2 linked regions of the Drosophila melanogaster genome follow. The protein of the gene in region 2 purifies or fractionates together with the protein of the main gene of each other region. This does not show direct contact. Each region holds a gene or a part of one and is shown on either strand. Other genes may lie near its edges.

The links.
Region 1: the proteins of dos (region 2) and Acn purify together in Drosophila melanogaster (affinity purification with mass spectrometry, with the first as the bait; one large-scale study listed by BioGRID). This does not show direct contact.

Annotation. Positions count from the first base shown.
Region 1 is NT_033779.5:19,043,560-19,049,317, forward strand, and holds Acn (acinus), read left to right. Parts: upstream 1-1,795; 5' UTR 1,796-2,007; coding exon 2,008-3,488; intron 3,489-3,592; coding exon 3,593-3,803; intron 3,804-3,860; coding exon 3,861-4,095; intron 4,096-4,156; coding exon 4,157-4,266; intron 4,267-4,354; coding exon 4,355-4,537; 3' UTR 4,538-5,258; downstream 5,259-5,758. Other genes in the region: Ttc19 (tetratricopeptide repeat domain 19), read right to left, coding at 61-324, 377-524, 595-758, 811-1,344; CG10470 (uncharacterized protein), read left to right, coding at 5,616-5,676, 5,728-5,758.
Region 2 is NT_037436.4:2,587,882-2,595,462, forward strand, and holds the start of dos (daughter of sevenless), read left to right. Parts: upstream 1-1,532; 5' UTR 1,533-1,605; coding exon 1,606-1,671; intron 1,672-2,320; exon of another isoform or gene 2,321-3,732; intron 3,733-4,280; coding exon 4,281-4,605; intron 4,606-4,671; coding exon 4,672-5,438; intron 5,439-5,506; coding exon 5,507-5,618; intron 5,619-5,679; coding exon 5,680-5,920; intron 5,921-5,983; coding exon 5,984-6,584; intron 6,585-6,640; coding exon 6,641-7,165; 3' UTR 7,166-7,581. Other genes in the region: RpL8 (ribosomal protein L8), read left to right, coding at 1-9, 203-835. UniProt on the Drosophila melanogaster protein: Essential component for signaling from various receptor tyrosine kinases such as Sevenless, TORSO and DER. Required for photoreceptor cell and wing development.

The DNA.
Region 1 (5,758 bases), on a different chromosome or scaffold from region 2:
GTGCTTCACTTCGAAATGAAATTTTTATAAATAGTCAAAATTACACTGTAAAAAGAATCCTCACTGGCGCTTCTCTCCATTCAGGGTTGTCTTTATCTCGTTGAGACAATACTCGGCCTGCTCTACGGCATCGGGATTCTGGTGTTGCTTTCCCAGTTTCCACGCCAGTCGGCAAGCGTTCTCCGCCTGCGACATCAGGCCCTCGCGAAGATACACCAAACCCAGATTTGCCTGCAGAATGCCTTCCTGGGTGGCATCCTTTAGCTCCTTAGTCAGCTCCATGGCCTCCAAAAGGGTCTCCCTTGCCTCGGCGTACTTTTCCAGCTGTAATTAGTCTAATGTGTTTCAAGTACTTTGGAAGAATAGACGCACCTACGTTTACGTACGCCACACTGATGTTATTTAGGATGGTTACAGAGGCGTCGTTAACGGCACCATAAACATTTATGAGCGTGTCGAAGGCCTCCTTAAAGAGGTTTTTAGCCTCCAGGTATTTTCCCTGCTTCATCAGCAGCTGCCCGAACCTGGAAAATAAACATAAGGAAAAGTATTGAAAAAAGGCTTGGTTAGCGGCAATGGAAACACCTTCAATACCAATTCTTTGTCAAGCCATACAGCTCCAGTATGTCCTTGTCGTCGGGCATTTTCTCCAGTAGCTTAGCCAACTGCTGCAAGGTCCAAGTGAACCCTTGAAAGCTCTTTTCCAGATCCCCTTGCAGCTGAGACATGTGTGCTATCTTGGAGCTGATGTGAAGTATCTAAAGATGAAAGAGATCTTAACTGGTTATGGTGTCTAAGTGGGTCACCCACCTTGGGACTCTCTTCGGTGTGACCCTCGGCAAAAAGCCGTTTCATAACGTCCGTGAATATCTTCTCCGCCTTCTTAAACTGCTCGCGTTCCATGGCCAAATTGGCCATCAGATCAAACACATATGTGATGCCGTCCTTGCTCTGAATATCCTGCGCCATTCGCAGAGCCAGGTGAAGCATTTGCTCGGCCTTGTCGTACTGTTCCCTCTGAATGCACAGGATTGATCGTTTGATGGTCTTGATCAGTTTTTCCTCCGGAGTTTCCTCTTTTTCGTCGGCGCCACCAAACAGATTCAGAGTGAAAGCAGCGGAAAATGCCCAAAACATTCCACCGGAAGAGCCAGAAGCGGGCGGAGCTGCCCAGGACACCTCGTAGCCCGCAGCATTGGAGCACAGCGGTCGACATCCGAATTCTGACCGTTGGTGATAACGGCTTCTCTTCAGCGGCGCAAGATGACAGTAATCTCTGGGATTCACGACAACGCGGAACCTGCCCATAACTTGCGTAAACTTGCAAATATTTCTCACTAACATGTTTAGGGCTTTATTAATTATTTAACTAAAACCTATAATGTTGCAGGTATGGTATTAAAAATTATGAAATAGCACGTATGTAGTGTTGCAAAGCGCGGTAAAGACGTTTTAAAAGTACATTTCGTAACGCTTGATTAAGAACATAGAAGACTTTTAAATAATTTCTACTCTATCATACTTTCGCAAATATATTTATGTTTCGTTAAGATTTCGTAAACAAAGGTTTTTAAATTTTTTAGAGATGACACTGTCAAACAAAACTTTATCGGCAACTTTGGTACCTAACATTTCGTTCATAAGTTAAATCTGCGAACAAAAATAAATTGATAAGTAGAGTTATTAACAATCTCGAATAAAAAACATTTAAGTACATTTGATAAAGTTTTTCGTAATAAGGTACTTCCTTCCCCCATCGCATACGATACTATCGATAGCCGTCAGCGGGGCGATAGACCGAGAGAAAGCATCCCTGTATATTGATGGCGGATTGACGCTCTTTCGCCTAGTAAAATTATTTTTCTTATCAAGAAAAGGTGCAGAATATAACGAGGAGTGAATTCGCAAAGCAGTGCATGAAATAGCTGTGGGTCCGCCGGCTGTACCTACGTTTTATTTCAGATCTTTCCAGCGTCGCAGCGAGTTTCCAGCGATTTTCGGACAGCCATGAGACGTCGCAGCGAGCGAAAAAAGTCGTCGTCGCCCGCTCCGGTGCCGGTGGCAGTTGCACGGAGAAGTCGCCGCTCCCGCAAGGTGTCGGAGAACGAGAAGACCGAGGTCGAGACTCCGGTCGTGGCCCAAAATAATGAGGCCGAATGCCCCAAAGTACCGCCAGCCTCTCAAGAAATCAATGAGGCGCGGGCATCCAGTGAAGAACGTGCCGGATCTGGAGCATCGCCAGTGCGCAGGAGTCGCGGCAGCCGGACGACGCCTAGAAAGCGCACGGAGTCCAAGGGCGGCGACAAGAAGGTGGACACCATACCCGAGGAGGAGCCGGAGAATGGAAAGGATGTTGAAAAGGACGCTGTCGAGGAGGAAAAGACTGTAGCGCCACCCGCGGCTAATGAGAGCGAGTCCGAGGACCGTGCCAAGACGGAGGATCAGCAGGCTCAAGACGATGAATCCTGTGCTGAACCCGCTGTAGTCAAGGATGATGATGTTGAGAAAGAGGACTTAAAACCGCAGCAGGAGGTCCCCACTTCCACTGATGATGACACCAAGCAGAGCGAGCCAGAACAAGAGGTAAAGGTTCCTTCTCCTTCCAGCAAGGATGAGGAACATCTAAAAACGACTAGTGATGTATTAGACATTCAGACAGAAGAGGTCGATGAAAGGGACGAAGAAGCCTCCGCTCCTGCGGAGCGCAGAGAAACCAAGAAGAGGCACAAGGAGCAGATAAAGGAACAGCAACCCGCAGAGGAGGAGGAACACAAGGAAAACCACAAGCAGATAGACGAAAACCCAGAACAAATTCACGATGAACCAGCAGATCTTTCGAACGACAAGCACGATCCATGTCTAAACAGCAGCGCAACCAACACAACCGGTGCTCCAGTTCTGCAGCAACAACGGTCGGTGCGGAAGCGAAAGTGGCTGACTAACAAAAAGTCTTCGGATCGTACCCCGCCCGTGCTTGCCATTTCGACGGATTCCCTGAAGAACATTATAGCCGATGTGGTGCAGCCAGTGCCCCTAAGCGATGTGCAACTGGAATCGTCCTCAGAGGAGGAAGGCCTGGTCACCAGCGATCGCGATTCAGAGCGATCTGCTTCACCGGCGCCCCCATCTGAAGCAAGCAAAGACCGCGATAACAAGGGCAATACCGCCAACACCTGCGACACCACCGCAGAGGCGTCGGCAGATAATGAAGGAGCAGGAGCCGCTCCTCCAGCAGCAGCAGACACGGTTTCAGCCCAGGTCAGCCTGAGCAAAGCCACAGTTTCCACGGCAGCACCACACATAGTCCGTGACCCTAGTCCTGCTCGAAACCGCGCCAGCCACGTGCTCTATATCACCAATTTGGTACGCCCCTTCACAGTGCTGCAGCTGAAAGGCCTGCTGGCGCGGACGGGAAAGATCGTTGAGGAAGATGGTTTCTGGATAGATCGGATCAAGTCTAAGTGCTATGTTGCCTATTCCACTGAAGAGTAAGTATTGTAGTTGCGCAAATAGAACCTAATCTCCAGGGAGTCAGTGAAATATGCCTATAAAAAACTCACACTTGCAATTATTTTGCTTTTCAACCTTTAAGCGAGGCCATCGAAACCCGACATGCCCTGCACGGAGTTCGCTGGCCAGTGTCAAATCCCAAATGTTTGAATGTAGATTTTGGCAGTCGCACTGATATGGATCGGGCAATACTTTCAACGAAGGACGAGGCTCCGAGGTACGGGCAGGAAAACACCAGAGATAACCAGCAGTCGGGCAACGCTTGGTCCCGGTTGGAACCGTCTGACAAAAAAGTAATGGATTATTATCACAGCATAGAAATGCGGAGCTAACTTGTCTTTTTCCTTCAGCCTGCGCGACCTGTACGCGAATGGGATGTTGGCAAAAAGGAACCAAGCGACCACGACAAACACAGCAACGACAGGCGTCGGGACAGCAAGGATCGACTGGACTCGAGGTCTAGGGATGCGGAGCGAGCCGGACAGGAACGAAAGCGTTCTAGGGACAGAGAGGGGCGAGGACGCGATCGGGAGCGGGAGCGACTTGATCGCAATGCACATGCAAGGAGCCGCAGTGGATCGCCAGGTAAAGCCCGTGGGATACATTTTCCTGTCATGAGAAATTCAAAAACACCCCGTTTAAATAGCGTCCAAAACTAAGAAGGAGAATGAACCGCCTATCAGACTACTAGATGATCTATTTCGAAAAACCAAGGGAACACCTTGCATATACTGGCTGCCACTTACGCCGGAAGCGGTAAGTTGCTGAGATAAATAGTTCCAATCAACGAGAATCACTTCTAGACCAAGTCCGCCTGAACAATAAAATTTCTTCCGGCTTTCAGATCGCAGAAAAGGAGGCATTCCGTCAGAAACGCATTGAGGAGCACAAGCTGCGTATTAAGGAACGGGAGGAGCGCCAGAAAGAGCGGGAGAAGGATCGTGACCGCCAGCGCGAGACGCGTCGCAATCGTTCCAACGAACGGCGACGATCTCGCAGTCGCGAGCGGGAGCGAAGACGTTACTAGGCGGAGGCTTGAGATTGAGCAAATAAATGTTGATATCTCAAAAACTAAATCAACATATAAAAAAAAACTTCAAGAAACAGCAACTAAAACTTCAGCAGGGTCTCATCACCACCCGAATAATTTCAATTCTTTTCTTTCGAGCGTTTTGCGTTCCCAATTAGGCCGACGTTTGTAATATTCAACTTGAACTGAACCGACTTCAAATTGAATACTTTCGCCAACGTCTCATCCACATTCTGATTTTGAGATTTCAAACTCTCTTTTCTTCGTTATTTTTCTCATTGTTGTTGTTCCATATATATATAGCATATATATTTCCATATATATATATATAACCTGATTTGATTTCTTTCCTCAAATGTAGCATTTTACAGCGCCTAACGTCACCTCACCCCAAAACGAAACCACAGCAACCAGAAATGCGCCGGCATCAGATCAGCATCAACGCCATGGAAACTTACCATCGGACTCTTGAAACTACTGCAGCAAGTTACCATGCTTATATCTATTCAATAAACAAACATAAAATAATTGATTAAAATATTGTAAAATCAAATATTTCTTAAAATTTTAATGAACTTAGAAATACAATTTAACATCAGTCGGCAAGCTTGTGACAATGCCAAAACCCAAAAATGTGTTTTAAATGTCTGAGAAATATGCTTATCGCACGACTTATTCGAACAGAAAAAGAAAAGAATGTAATTCCTCAAAATTATAGAAAATGTTTTTGATTCGTAAGAATCATGGTATTTAGAGCATATTATTATAATTTTAATACTCTTTAATTTATATATAAGGTCAGATTTATAAAGTATGAACTTTTTGCCATTTATTTACTTTTCCTTATCAATTTTTAGTAAAAACACTGCTTTTATTAATAATCGCGAGTCTAATTTATTGATTAAACTTAAAAAAGAATAAATGAAGTTGTCCGTTAAAGTACCAGAATACCCCCAACAATAAGTTCGTTTTAATCGATAGTCCATGTTAATAAGCTATCGGAGCCGCTTAATGATTTATGTCAATAGTGCTATCGATGAGTTTTAATTTGTATTAACATTAATTTAGTGAAAAAATGTGGTCCGACACAATATTAATTGTTTTTATATCGGTTTGCACCGCCTTCCTGGGCGAAGGTAAGTAAAACGCCAGTTAATTTAGTTAACCCTACATATTTGTTTGCCTAGGTCTTACATGGGTGATGGTTTACCGGACGGA
Region 2 (7,581 bases):
GTTGTCAAGGTGAGTAACGTGCTCCTAGGATCACCAACTACACCTATCCGTTTAATGTGGATGAGATCACTTGCATTTGGCCATGCCACATTCAAGAGACGTGCTTGAGCACCTGTGCCAGCTTACTAGAAGTTACTTAGCTCACTTGGCTTAACTGCTTTTGAAGTGTAACTAAGCGAATCGTACTTCTTCCATGTTTCAGGACATCATCCACGATCCCGGCCGTGGCGCTCCTCTGGCCGTCGTCCACTTCCGCGACCCCTACCGCTACAAGATCCGCAAGGAGCTGTTCATCGCCCCCGAGGGCATGCACACCGGCCAGTTCGTGTACTGCGGCCGCAAGGCCACCCTTCAGATCGGCAACGTGATGCCCCTCAGCCAGATGCCCGAGGGTACCATCATCTGCAACCTGGAGGAGAAGACCGGTGATCGCGGCCGTTTGGCCCGCACCTCTGGCAACTACGCCACCGTGATTGCCCACAACCAGGACACCAAGAAGACGCGTGTCAAGCTGCCATCCGGCGCCAAGAAGGTCGTGCCCTCGGCCAACCGCGCCATGGTTGGCATCGTCGCCGGCGGCGGTCGTATCGACAAGCCCATCCTGAAGGCCGGTCGTGCCTACCACAAGTACAAGGTGAAGCGCAACAGCTGGCCTAAGGTGCGTGGTGTGGCCATGAACCCCGTGGAGCATCCTCACGGTGGTGGTAACCATCAGCACATTGGTAAGGCCTCCACCGTCAAGCGAGGCACATCCGCCGGTCGCAAGGTCGGTCTCATCGCTGCCCGTCGTACCGGTAGGATCCGTGGTGGCAAGGGCGACAGCAAGGACAAGTAAGCTCTGGCTGCAGCAGGATTCCGGCGTGGCGCAGGTTCCGCCTGAGATCTGGGTAGTGGTCGTGCTCTGCTGTGCGGCGTCGTGGAAGAAATTGCTATTCTACATGGATAATCTGTATGTTCTAGGCATACGCTTGACACGGCAGAATAAAACGTATTTGTAAAACTATACTTCGTTTGCATTTAAAGTTTTTAAGATTTTAGTTATTAGCTTTTGTTTGGATTTATTATGCTGATTTATTAGGTAAATACTTATGTTATCTGCAAATTCTTGTTTTCAAACAAAGAAATACTTGTGTTTTTTGAAATATGTATACATATTTTATATGGGCTATTTGTGGACTTATTTTTAAAATACTAGATTGAACACGTTTCATATGGCAACCAAAAAAGGTTTTGTTTTGTTTTTTACAAGATTGTAAATACTTAATTTTTACAACTCAAAATTATAAATAGTGCCAGTGTTGGGTAATGTCAACTACGGTCACACTAATCTAAAACAATTTGAAGCAAACGGTATATTACACTAAGTTCAAGTTTTGAAGCAATGGGGCTTACACCAAACAAATATATAAATAATAATAACTTTCCGCCGAATATAAGCGTTCGCATCTTTTATTTCGATATATCTTAGACTTAGCTTAAGCCTATCGAATACTTATTCGATATTGCCTCGGAAGATCTATCGCAAGCGTGAGGCCCACCTCTAGTTGGTGTGCGCGGAGTGGAGTGAAATAAATCGAAGTAAATTGCGTCGAGCGCTGCAAAATAATGGATCGCACTTTCTACGAGGGCTGGCTAATTAAGTCGCCGCCCACCAAGCGCATTTGGCGAGCAGTAAGTTTCCGAAAATGGAAAAACGTAGGCTTTCGAAAACCTGAGCGTGTGTGCGTGTGTGCAAGTGCTAAGGAATTTTCCTGGAAACCCCAGCTCAAAACGAAATCAAAATGAAAATTCTGATCCAATCAAATCAGAAATGTCCACTGATTAGTGAAATGTGCAAAGAAAAGAGAGTCGCAATTGGCTAACGGTAAACTTGAAGCCGGAAGAGAAATACCGCAATCTTTGTCCATCGATTGACTCACGAAAATGATAAAAAAAAACGATGGATAATGGAAGTGGCATTTTTTTACAATTACGCTAAGCCTGTATTGGTGCCTGCCTCAGTGTGTGTGGGTTTGTTTGGCGTTGTTGTTTGTGGTATGATTTAATTCATTATTAAGCCGAGGGATTGCAATTCCAGTATTCCAGTTGATTGGAATGCAAACAAGTTGAAAACCGCAGCAGAAATTGCAAAATGTGAATGAATTTACGATGGCTTCCTCTGCGTTTTTCCCTCTCTCTCTCTCTGTCTCTCTCCCCACCACCCTCTCCGTCACCCAGTTTCTTTCTGTTTATGTTTGCTTTTGGCGTGGGAACGTGTTTTTTTCTTTTGCCCTGGTCTAAATTTACGCTTAATTAATTTTTCGTTTAATGTTTACTTTAGGGAGCCGTTCGTGTATTAAATTTCCGCCAACTGTTGCGTTTAATCAAATTTACTTGCCCCGTATTTCGTGTGTGCATGTTTTTTATGCGCATATGTGCTTGTTTTTGCTTTTTTATGTGCACGGACGATAAGCCGGATCAAGCACAAAACAATGTGCAACAACAGCAACATAAACTACCGACGATGACCAAAAAAACAATGACGCACTTGTCTTTCCAGCTCCTTGTTGTTGTTGATTTTGCCTATGCTAGAGATGCGCTGTTGTAGTGTCAGCATAATAATTTTTATTTACAGTCCATCATAATGTATGACTTATTAGATTTTTGGATTAATTATTTTTTAAACATTTAGGGGATGAATAGTTGAAAAGTATGTTTGCTTATATTATTAAATATAAATAGAATGATTTGCTCAGACAAATAAATTTTACTGGATTTTAAACTAGTAAAGCTAAAATATAGAAGTTCTCCCTCAGGAGTTCGTGACACGACACTCTGTAGTGTGCCCATCTCTAGAGCGTTCATTTGAAACCACTTATAATGGATACGACAGTTCCAAGAACACCCAAACCGTTGATCAAAAGGTCTGCAGCACAGAATTTTCAGTTACAGCAAACCCACTTTATGGTTTCACTGTACTCAATTTGTTTGCTTATGTTGAGGCGTGCAATAGCGTCCAAAATGGTAGTATTCAATCACACTATTTTGAAAACTGCTTAAGATTATACAATATAAATTAAATAACTAACCTCTTGACATCAAACTTCGTACAAAATATGGAATATTTTGTTGTAAAGGTTTACAGCAGCTATCTAATTTTAAAAACAACCCTTTCCGGCGCGTTAAAAGTAAACAAATTTAGAAACATTTTAAAAATAGAACCTTTGCCCGCACATTTTCGTTTGCGTTTCTAATATCTTGAGCGCCATTGTATAAACAAACTCTAATGATGCCTCGAGAAAATGAGCTGCGTATTTCCAGCGCCTCGGGGTGCCAATTTCTGGCCTGTGTGCGGCATTATGTTTATTGTTTATAATTCAATTAAGCTTGATATTATACAGTCCGAAAAAAACCATCCATTATCAGCTGGAGTTTTACGTTTTCAGCGGGTTCCCGAACCTCTCAGCTGTTAATTTCTTAACCGCTTAACGGTAACGTGGGCGGGGGTGTTATTTCTGTGTGTGTGTCTGCTGATTACCCAAGAAAATGCCAATGCAAAATATGATTCGCGGAAAAGCAGCGCCGCTGCAGTCTCTGTTGACTCGGGCTTCATCACCCGCTTACTCACCAGCAGTGATAGTGTACTCAGTCGTTGAGCTGATCAGCCGTACCCTACCCTCATATCAACAACCGGAGTCCATCGCTCAGTAAGGGTATCTTAATCCAGAACGGAGACATCGGTACACTCGCGTAGTACGTTTATATATAGCTAAACTACTGCAAGATATAGTATAATTAGAGATAGACTTAAAGAAAGCCTTGGCGTGTCGCAAATTCTAGAAAATTTGCTAATGATTCACTATATTCTAATCATAAATACCGCATTATCAGATCTCTAGGAAAATTACATTTTTGATGCGTAAATGATATTGTAAGCATCAAGATTGTTCATTTGCTCTTCGCCCTGATGAGTAACTACCTGATGAAGTTAGTCATCACTATTCAGGCATCTTAGTACAATTTGTAACAGTGTAATCTTGTTTAATATTCTCAGACTCTTTGCAAAAGAAGCAATATCTACAAATCTCATTTTGGGGGAATTTTTGACTTTGTTGAATTGTTTTGCTACAAAAAAACAAAGACAGTTTATCGTGTGATATTTGCAATTCCACGACCCATTTAACATATGTCGCTATGAAGGAATCTTGTGTGTGTAATGGCATAGGAGAAATCACTATTGCTTTTCCAACTGTACGCCTCGTTGCAACTCTTAACGCCTTGTTTCCAAATTATCTTTGTAGCGCTGGAGGCGTCGCTACTTCACGCTGAAGCAGGGCGAGATACCGGAGCAGTTCTGCCTCGAATACTACACCGACCACAACTGCCGCAAGCTGAAGGGCGTTATCGATTTGGATCAGTGCGAGCAGGTGGACTGTGGCCTGCGGCTGGAGAATCGCAAGCAGAAGTTTCAGTACATGTTCGATATCAAGACGCCCAAGCGCACCTACTACCTGGCTGCTGAGACGGAGGCGGATATGCGCGACTGGGTGAACTGCATCTGCCAGGTGTGTCACCTACACGACACAAAGCAATCGAATGAGTTGCCATTAGGAGCTGTGGGTGCAGGTGAGTGTCCGCAAGCCCATGTCCAAAGAACCCCTTCTTAAGTTTTTCTTTTCTTGCAACACCCAGACGAAAACCGCACCCAACACACGAGCTCCAGTGGCGGTCTAAGCAACTCCACTCAAAATACGACCACCACATCGTTGCACTCGTCGGCCGGAACCACAGCGCCTCAGGCTTCGGTCCCAAATGCTGGAGGATCTGCCCAGCTGCGACGACCGGCGGTCATTGAAGAGCAACCGATGCCCTCGAATGCCGGCAACAATAACTCAGACTCGGTGTATGTCAACACGGAGTACAGCAATCGCGAGACGATGCTCTGCGATGCCAATTTCGATCAGCAGGAACTGCTCTCGGCTGCCCAGCAGCAACCGCCTCCATCGCCGGCCACGGCTCTTTATCTAAACCACAGTGCTTTGATCCAAGCTCAGGCGGCAGCTGCAGCCGCCGAGCAACTGCAGCAGCAGCAGCAACAAGCTGCTCGCTTGGCGGTCAGTGCCAACGGAGTAGTGCGCAAATTGCCGGAGCATCTGGTGCTCACGCAGCAGACCCTGGCGGAGGCAGCTGCCCAGCAACACAGCAGCGTACAGGCTTCACCCGCTTTGAGCACCGCATCCGGACCGTACATACCCATCAGCGAGTGCTTCTCGGGCAGCCCGAGATTCCTGCCCGGCGTTCCACTGCCCGGCGCAGATTTGGCCATACCAAACAACCCCACCACGCCGTTGAACAACTTGGATCCCAAGTTCTACGATACGCCGCGTAGTCATAATAACATAGGTCTAAATCTGACCAACGATCAATCCTACTCACCGAAGATAACCAATTTGAGTCTGGTAAGTTGATAGCGATAACGATGCGCGTCAAGCATTATTTATAATTAATTATCATGTTGGCCTTTCAGCAACAATTGGCCAATAACAATGCTAGTAAACAACGCTCCGACTCCGATTCGGAAAGCGTTTTCACCGATGACGATGAGTGGGCTCATCCTTTGCCACTGCGCGAGAATGTGGGTAAGTACTCAAAAGGCAAATATCAAAGCGAATTCTCGTAGTAAACAAAGATTTCTCACAGATCGCAGTACCCGACCTTCGGATAGTTCCATTGAAAACGAATCATTCGTGCTAACGTACTCGCAGCGATTCTCTAAAATGCCCGAGGAAGGAGGAGCGATCGTGCCACCAGCTGAAAAGAGTTCCAAGCTAGCAGGAGCAGCATCTCTGCCAGAGGCTGGTGACCAGGGAACGCTGGATAAGCTGGCCAAGGTGCTGAAGAACAAAAATAATCTCATATTGGACTTTAAGGAGAATGAAAAGTGAGTTAACACACACTCAATTCAATTTTAAACGGCCTACTAAATCATCCTGCGCATTGACAGAATTCCTCGCGATCTGCCGCAGCTGTCGGATACGGAAAATACTTCGCCGGCCATTGTGGCCCGCCGCAACGCGCACTCCGCTTTCATCGAGGAAAGCTATGACATTCCAAGGTCCCACCAGCAGCCTTACTACAACGTCAACCAGCTGCTGGGCGAGCGACCAGTCACCAGCCCGCACAATTCCAATCCCATTGCAGCATCCACACCGAATCTCATGGCGGCCGATCTGGGTGCAGTGGCCGCAATTTCAGCGGCAGCGAATCCCGGCCTGATGGGTGAGGCACAGGCAGTCGCATCATCGCCCACCAGTGCGCGCACATTGCCTCGACACTGCTACACCAATGCAGCTCCCACAAAGATGGAGGGCAATGTTTTTCGATACGACTTCATGGAGCAGGCGGACTGCCCGCCGGTTAACCGGAAACTTAAGCCAAAGGTGGCGGGTGGATTGCCAGTTGTAGAGGACAAACCGCCGGAGGAGTTTCCTGCAAAGCCCCCGGTGGGCGTAGATCAGTTAACCAATAAACTGGGTGCAGCCCAACTGCAGCAGCCCATTGGACCGCCCAGTGTGGACAGGAAGTGCAAACCGAATGCCTATAAGGTGAGTGACAAACGTTGTGCACACCCATATTCAATTTACTAATGACTTCTTTTTAGTTGGGCAATTCGGCTACCATGTCGCCGGCAACGCGACGTTCCTCCGGTGCCCCTCTCTCAATGGTGCTGCCGCATGAAACGGATGTACACTCCCCGGCGGCAGCCAACGCCTTCTTTCACGAGACCCGCACCCTGCCTCGCCAACAGCATCGGCATCATCCGAACAGTCCCGGCAGCATGTCGGTACAACATCAGCGCACCGCCTCCGCAGCGGCTGCCATGATGAGCTTGACGGCAGCAGCTGCTCCCAAGCAGCAAGCGGCGGCGCAGACTGAGCACAAGCTGCAGTACTTTGATCTGGATGTGACCAACAAACCGCCATTGCTAAATCGATCCAGCATGAGTGTGGGGAATCTGTACTCACAAGGCGGAAATGGAGCTAGTGGAATGCGATTCGCAGGCGTCGAAGCTGGCGGAGCTCGAGCGCCAGTGCCTAGCAGCGTGGTCTATAGATCCGTGGACTTTGTCAAGACGGAGGCATTTAAGAGGATTCGAGAGGAGCGCGAGAGCAGCGGCAACAAGTGAAACTGCTGGTTCAGCTAAATGAAATCATATCTCCAGTACATCTACTTGTCAACGTGCAATAGCAAAGGAAGGACCATGTTGCTGATCCGAGATTTTCGTAGTGCCTATTGGTGGTCAGCTGAGGAGAGCTGACCCCATCCAAAAACAGTGCAAATTTCGAGTGGCTTTTACATTCGTTAACATCGTCAAATTCATTATTCATTAAACCACATATCTAGCTTGTAAGACGGCACCAGCATTTCTGTGTGCTGTTTTGAATCTGTAATCTGTAACCCGTATCTGAATCTATGTCGTATTCGTATTTAAATCGTGCTTCCAACACTTCCATGTTTATTGTTAAGCTTCGGAATCAAAATGTAACCATGACAAACGATCTTAGTGCTAATTTTACAATGCAAACAATTATTTTATATACG